Arabidopsis thaliana: one gene and its partner. The protein of the gene in region 1 interacts with the protein of each later gene in a biochemical or structural test. Each region holds a gene or a part of one and is shown on either strand. Other genes may lie near its edges.

Region 1 (3,925 bases):
TAACTTGATCAAATACTTGCGAAGCAGAGAACTTTTAGCCGCCGCGTTTGATTTGCTTAGCACAGTCACATCATTCAAAACAATAGGAAGCACATCTAGCAACACTTTCCGGCTAGCAGTCTGCCAACATGAGTAGACATATTAGATCCAGATGCAAATTGGAACAGGTTAAGTAATAGAAACCAGTAATATTTCTACAAGATACAAAACAGATAAGTCAAATTGATTATGTACTTTACAGACATCTATATATGTTTGACGTGTTAAGTATGGACCAAAGTTAAAACAAAGAGAATTCCAGGTTACAAACAGAATAAACCTTAAAAATGGCAGATAGAGCTTCCATTACACCAAGCAAGCGAAAGTGGTTCGTGACACTATCTTCCTTACAAGACAAAACTTCATATGTCCACTCAAAAAAGCTGAAACGGAAATGCCACAATAGAATAAAGAAAATTAGTTAATCCATTCACGGTGAGTAAATTGTACATGTTACAATTGAAAACAGCAGTTTAGAAACAATCTTAAGTGTTCAAAGTGAAACAACACTGAAGCACTGATGGTGGTAGGAACAGACCTCGAAAAAGCTTTTCCCATATCCGGACGAGTTAAAAGCTTAGAGAGTAGCAACCCCGATATCCTGCGCATTGGTCCAGCACTGCACAGATAGTCCTTACAGAAACCTAATATCTTCAATACCAAAGGAGCAAGGTCATCCACACCAAAGGTCTTGTCATCAGCAATGCTTGTATCAACAGAAGAAATATCAAACGGAACCAACACAAGGATTGAAAGCCACAAAAGAGTAACACATTTGGCCTCCATTTCTCCAGTGCTTTCTTGCCTCAAGGCAGAAACAGAATTTGTACTATGGCACTTCTCGAGGAGCAAAACGGCGAGTTCCAGATCGGATACTTGATGCGGAAAGAACTTGATAACAGCTTTGTACCCACATACAGTAACTAAAGCATAGATAATGATGCTTATTGGCTTAATAATCTCAAGAATTTCATCAGGTTTGGCCTCTAAATCAACTGTTTTGGAGCGGATGATAAACATTAATGGAGAAACTATACTCTCTAAGTAAGGTTCCACTAATTGACCTTGCTCCTGGTATTTATCCATCTACAATACAACAAAACAAAGTCGGAGAAAGTAAATCAACATGATACTGAAACATGGGTTGGATCAAGTAGATGAAGTCAAAAGACTAAGAAGCGTACAATGGATCGGATCTTATGAACAGAAGTAGGATCAACAACACGGCCATTTGAAACAATATCATCGAGAAGAGATTTAACGAGCTTCCATTCTTGTAAAAAATACCTCTGTAGAACTCTCTCCTTAGAATCATGCTCATCGTCTTCTTCCTCTTCAATTTTTACCGCCGTTTCGATTTCGATCTTCGTCGGCGACATTTCCTCTGCTCTAGATGCCATTACTGGAAAGAGAAAGGGGTTCAATAAATTCCCGCCCGCCGATAATACTCTCAGTGTAGAACCACCGGCAAATCACGAGATCGGTGACGTCGACGATGAGTTTACATGTTAAGGCCCATAGTAATTTATTGGGCCTATATACCCATGTTCCTATTTTGGGCCTATAACCTTCCTCAATGTAGCTTCGTTGGTCTAGATTTTCCATCTTTGGGTGCTTTTATAAACCGGCTTAACCAGAGTTGGTAGGCTTGATACTTGAATCTCTTTCTGGTTTTGTATATTCAAGAATAAGCAAACATTTCCTTAAAAATAACTTTTTTTTTGTCGTACCTCATTTTAAAAAAGATATTTTATCCTATTTCATTATGGCGGAATATCCAAAGAACAAAAAATGGTAGTAATAAAAATAGCGAAAGGCATAGAGGATCACTAAACTCTTAGCCTTAATCAGCGGTCAAGATTATACCTTTTAGTGAGATCCAACGGTCATATTTGATCCAAGTTGTCCCTTAGTGAAAACGAAGAGATGGCGAAATTTTGTTTGATTGGCTAAAAATCAACACACTGATAAAATAAGAGTTGCAGAGAGAGTCTCTCATCTTCTTCATTTCTTCACCACCATCATCACACACCTTCTTCTTCTTCTTCTTCTCTCTCTATCACAAGAGAGTCAAATCCATGGCTTCTACTTCTTCCCTCGCTCTCTCTCAAGCTCTCCTAGCTCGTGCAATCTCTCACCATGGTTCTGACCAACGTGGATCTTTACCAGCTTTCTCTGGACTCAAATCCACCGGTTCACGCGCCTCAGCTTCGTCTCGTCGACGTATCGCTCAATCCATGACCAAAAACCGATCTCTCCGTCCTCTTGTTCGCGCTGCAGCTGTTGAGACTGTTGAGCCAACCACTGATTCGTCGATTGTGGACAAATCGGTCAACTCGATTAGGTTTTTGGCTATCGATGCGGTGGAGAAGGCCAAATCAGGTCATCCTGGTCTTCCTATGGGTTGTGCTCCGATGGCTCACATTTTGTATGATGAGGTCATGAGGTATAACCCCAAGAACCCTTATTGGTTCAACCGTGACCGATTCGTTCTATCTGCTGGACATGGATGTATGTTGCTCTACGCGTTGCTTCATCTTGCCGGCTACGACAGCGTCCAGGTCTGTGATCTCTTCTCTGTTTAATTGCTTTCGATCTGATCGTAATTGATGAATGTAGTAACTTTAGTGGATAGATTGAATCTGTTTTGATATTCATCTGATGGCTGCTTGAAGTAGATTCACTGAAAAGGTGTTTGGATTTGTTTATTAGGAGGAAGATTTGAAGCAGTTCCGTCAATGGGGAAGCAAGACACCAGGACATCCTGAGAATTTCGAGACTCCTGGAATTGAAGTCACTACTGGTTTGAGATTTTGCTTCTTTTGGCTTATGGTTCATGTGAAATTTCACAGAAACTATCTATAACTGTATTTACAATTGTGCTCTCTGCTTTGGCTGCTATGCAGGTCCTCTTGGACAAGGAATCGCTAATGCTGTTGGTTTAGCTCTTGCTGAGAAGCATTTGGCTGCTAGATTCAACAAACCTGATGCTGAAGTAGTCGACCACTACACGTAATATATATAACCCATAGTTATGTTGTCGTTCTTGGTTTGTATATAGCTCTGATAATAGAAATACTGTTTTTGATTGATTGTCTAGATATGCGATCCTTGGAGATGGTTGTCAGATGGAGGGTATTTCTAATGAAGCTTGCTCTCTAGCTGGCCATTGGGGACTTGGAAAGCTCATTGCTTTCTACGATGACAATCACATTTCTATAGATGGAGACACAGAAATTGCCTTCACTGAGAACGTGGACCAGCGATTTGAAGCCCTTGGATGGCATGTTATCTGGGTGAAGAATGGAAACACTGGGTATGACGAGATCCGTGCTGCCATTAAGGAAGCTAAAACTGTTACTGACAAGCCTACTTTGATCAAGGTAACTACACAATTTCTTAACCATCAAACATCGGTTGGTCTAAAGACCTTTGATATTGATTTACCATATTGCGTAATCCAGGTCACTACTACCATTGGTTATGGGTCTCCCAACAAGGCGAACTCATACAGTGTCCATGGAGCTGCACTTGGCGAGAAGGAAGTTGAGGCTACCAGAAATAACCTTGGATGGCCGTATGAGCCGTTCCAGGTACCTGACGATGTAAAAAGGTTAGTAAATCCAAAGCAGGCTTATGTTTGGTTTTATTGCTTTGAAGTTGCCTTGATGACTTACTGTTTGACTTGCACTTCTCTAGCCACTGGAGTCGTCATACACCTGAAGGAGCTACTCTTGAATCTGACTGGAGTGCAAAGTTTGCAGCATATGAAAAGAAGTACCCAGAGGAAGCTTCTGAGTTGAAATCTATTATCACTGGTGAATTACCTGCTGGCTGGGAGAAGGCTCTACCTGTAAGTAGAACTCTCTTTGCATTCTGTACAATT
Region 2 (3,925 bases), about 19 Mb from region 1:
TTTGAATTCAAAATGAGACTCTAAACTCTATACAACACATTGTTGAAAGAAGAGTACCTCTCTAAACTCTGACTTTGCCATGAAGAGAACATTGCGCATGGTGTGATACTGCAAGCATCAGATGAAGTTAAGTCGTCTGAATAGTTAGTAGGGAATAAGAACTTAAAGTATCAAGAAAAGAAGATGTAATGGCCATCTTCAAGTCTTTATACAACTAGGTTCAAGTGTAAAACCCAAGAAAATCAGTGAATATGAGATAATCAATACCTGCCTCAAGTGAGTGCAGGTAGCTTGAACAGCAGTATCAGACCATGAAGCTCCAATGGATTTAGATACAAGCAGCCGTGCAGCTGACATAGGTAAAAGTCTCAGCGATGCAATCAGAAAACTTGCTGTAGCCGACAGAACAGAAGACCTGCACAACATGATAACGATTTCACAACATTCTAAATAAAGACTGATTGGTTCTTTCCTATCGAGGATTCGTATTGAGAACAAAAGCTCACGCTGCAAGTTTGCCAATTAATGATTGCTTTGTTGATTGTTGGTTCAAAGTCAAAAATGGATATAGGCCAATGCAATATACCACCTGCAAAGCATTCCAGAGAATAATATAAGAAAAATCACATAGCACTGAAAGAAATTGTGATGGAGAAAGTACTACTCTTAGAGGAAGCCATCTATACCTTGTCCGAGAATTTCTTCAATAACTCAAGGGATATATAAGACCCAATAGAATGCCCAACCTACCAAGATCAATTAAGCTTAGAGTTGTAAATTTTCATGAAAATCTGGAAATCCATCCAACTAATGGACATATATATTTTGGTCATAAGAAGCAATATGTCAATGGCTTATACACATGACAGTCTTACCAATATTATTGGAACTTTCACACTCTCCAACTCCTGTCTGATAAAATCAATCTGTATGATAACTAACAGATTAAGATCTTAACTTCACAGGATGAACAATACAAGAACCTAAAGGCTTTCAAATCCAAGAGCAATGAAGAAAAATGATTTTTATTACCTTATGATCAATTTGTTCTTGAAATGAAAATAGCCTCCCAGACTCCCAGTCCTAAAAGTGAAAATAATCAAGTATCATGAAAGCCTATCAAACTAAGATATTATATGAAGAGAACCATCAAAGTTTACACACAGTAAAACCTGAAACCAAAGTTAACGTACCTTGCTCGTGTGAGATATTTGCCCAATAGCTACACAAATAAAACAAACCACTCCACCATTAGAGATCAGAAGAACAAACTCAAACTCAGAAATAAACAGCTTCCATCTTAAGGACTCAAAGAAATCAAACTCGAAAAGTAGAGCAGCCATACCAATTACAGAAGCATTTCCACCAAGAAACTCGTATAAAGATTCCAAAAAGTCCTTGTAAAATGACACAACTCCTGAAAAATTACAAGCCAATGTATGAAGCACACTAGTATATACACGTGCATGCATAAGAGTCTTGAGCATAATAATGAAACCTGGATTTCCCGGAATAAACAATACATGGAATGTGGGATTCTCAGCTTGAATTTCCATCATCTCCGTCATCGAACTTTGATCACAAATACAAAAAACAAAACAAAAAGTGTAACTATAGTCAAAGAAATTAGAAAATTTCGTAAAAGATTAATGTAACAATACCCAGAAACTCTGCACAATCTGGATTTAACATGTCTTTTAGTTTCATTCATCAATTTGTTTTGAGTCTCCATGTCTCCGGTCACGCGATTCAACTTATATCTTCTCTCAGAACTGTCAACACTTGAAAGGAGAAGATCGAGAGAATTAATGAGACAACAGAGAAACCACTAAAAATCAAAACTTTGCAAAATAAGTGAAGAAGCCTTTTAAAGTAAACCAAGTGAAGAGAGCACAACAATGCACCTGAAACAACAGGAGTAGATTAGATACTTTGGAGAACTGAACCACCGATCGGAGGAAGAAAGTAACGGAGAGACGGAGTTACCCAAGGTAGAAGAAGAAGACGCATATTTGCAGCAATAGTAATACGACCTCGTTTTGAGTAACGCGACGTCGTTTTATGAGTTTGGGTGTCGTCAGGCTTATCTCCACCTCATACTTCCACTACAAAGAGAGGTGATTGACAGATAGATAAGAGTGTTTGGTAGCTCAGACTCAGAGAGTCACAAAGTGTGTGTAGCAGCAATGGCGTCTGTTGCTTCTTCAACTACTCTCATCTCTTCTCCCTCTTCTAGGGTTTTTCCAGCAAAGTCTTCACTTTCCTCTCCATCTGTTTCTTTCCTTCGAACCCTTTCTTCTCCTTCCGCATCTGCTTCTCTCCGCTCCGGATTTGCTCGACGCTCTTCCCTCAGCTCCACTTCTCGTCGGAGCTTTGCTGTCAAAGCCCAGGCCGTAAGTTTATCTAAATGTCGATACTTTTCTTATTCGATGTCATTGAAATCTGAATTCATTAGCCTGTTATAGATTTCACTCTCTTCCTACTTGTTAGCCCTATAGGTTTTGGGGAAATAGTTAACGATTTATAGGTTATGCGACCGTGTTTCTGCAGATTACTCGAAAAGTTCAGAAATTTGAGTGACATTTTCGTTTAGGGTTGTTAATTTCTCTGGTGAAGTGAAATTGAGTGACATATGAGCTATACTCATTGACTGATTAGTATGTTCGGATGAGGTCTATGTAGTTTTGGTATAGTACCATGGTTATCTGATTGTCAATTTGACTGATCTTTCTCCTTAGATTTGATGTGTTAACGAGTTTTAATTTGGTGATTATAGGATGATCTTCCACTGGTTGGAAACAAGGCGCCTGATTTTGAGGCAGAGGCTGTGTTTGATCAAGAGTTCATCAAGGTACTTACAGCAGTTATCAATCACAGTTGCTGCTTCTAGTTAATCTGAGATTAAGTTTAGTTTTGAAGCTGAATGAGTAGTCTTTAGTGTTTTTTATTTAGTGAGTATATGTCTTATTGTGATTGGAAACTAATTGGTAACTGATGAATGTATGGTTTCAGGTTAAGCTCTCTGATTACATTGGAAAGAAGTATGTGATTCTCTTTTTCTACCCATTGGACTTTACTTTCGTCTGCCCAACAGGTTAGCATTGCTCGAGAAGTATATCAAAATTGAATATCCAAGGTTCCCTCATCCTTGAGTCCTAATCTTTCTCATTTTTTCCTTATGTCTTTTAGAGATTACTGCCTTCAGTGACCGGCATTCAGAATTTGAGAAGTTGAACACCGAAGTATTAGGTGTTTCTGTCGATAGTGTGGTAAGTATCACTATACATTTACTATGTTCTCATTTTACTCAGTTCCTCATCCTTGGTTGACATCACCATGTTCTTATCTGTTTGCAAATTTTTGATTCATTCTTATTTCTGTGTGTCCTCGTAGTTCTCTCACCTTGCATGGGTCCAAACAGACAGGAAATCTGGAGGGCTTGGTGATCTGAACTATCCCCTTATTTCAGATGTCACTAAATCAATCTCAAAGTCGTTCGGAGTGCTCATCCATGATCAGGTAATTGTTAGCCTTTAAATCTTGGCTACCTTCCTTTAAACTTTCGAAGTGTTTGGGATAAATGAAAACAAGAACTTTGTTTGTGTAAGAACAGGGAATAGCACTGAGAGGACTTTTCATAATCGACAAGGAAGGAGTGATCCAACATTCCACCATCAACAATCTTGGTATTGGCCGAAGCGTTGATGAGACAATGAGAACCCTCCAGGTAAAGATACAAATAAATACACACAACTCCAAAAACCGCTCTTTCCTTTCACTCGATTTCCGGTATGCTTAATACGTTTTCAATGTTGCAGGCATTACAGTACATCCAGGAAAACCCGGATGAAGTCTGCCCAGCAGGATGGAAGCCGGGTGAGAAGTCAATGAAACCCGACCCAAAACTCAGCAAAGAGTACTTCTC

The links.
Region 2: the proteins of AT3G60750 (region 1) and AT3G11630 form a complex in vitro, tested with the Arabidopsis thaliana proteins (one large-scale study listed by BioGRID).

Annotation. Positions count from the first base shown.
Region 1 is NC_003074.8:22,451,887-22,455,811, forward strand, and holds the start of AT3G60750 (Transketolase), read left to right. Parts: upstream 1-1,781; 5' UTR 1,782-2,117; coding exon 2,118-2,600; intron 2,601-2,751; coding exon 2,752-2,842; intron 2,843-2,945; coding exon 2,946-3,051; intron 3,052-3,139; coding exon 3,140-3,422; intron 3,423-3,503; coding exon 3,504-3,652; intron 3,653-3,738; coding exon 3,739-3,892; intron 3,893-3,925. Other genes in the region: TTN1 (ARM repeat superfamily protein), read right to left, coding at 1-120, 320-422, 578-1,125, 1,224-1,439. UniProt on the Arabidopsis thaliana protein: Catalyzes the reversible transfer of a two-carbon ketol group from fructose-6-phosphate or sedoheptulose-7-phosphate to glyceraldehyde-3-phosphate to yield xylulose-5-phosphate and erythrose-4-phosphate or ribose-5-phosphate, respectively.
Region 2 is NC_003074.8:3,670,003-3,673,927, forward strand, and holds the start of AT3G11630 (Thioredoxin superfamily protein), read left to right. Parts: upstream 1-2,033; 5' UTR 2,034-2,186; coding exon 2,187-2,393; intron 2,394-2,776; coding exon 2,777-2,851; intron 2,852-3,012; coding exon 3,013-3,094; intron 3,095-3,189; coding exon 3,190-3,269; intron 3,270-3,393; coding exon 3,394-3,519; intron 3,520-3,613; coding exon 3,614-3,727; intron 3,728-3,818; coding exon 3,819-3,925. Other genes in the region: AT3G11620 (alpha/beta-Hydrolases superfamily protein), read right to left, coding at 58-108, 268-415, 507-589, 687-746, 876-926, 1,033-1,083, 1,194-1,222, 1,346-1,417 and 2 more. UniProt on the Arabidopsis thaliana protein: Thiol-specific peroxidase that catalyzes the reduction of hydrogen peroxide and organic hydroperoxides to water and alcohols, respectively. Plays a role in cell protection against oxidative stress by detoxifying peroxides.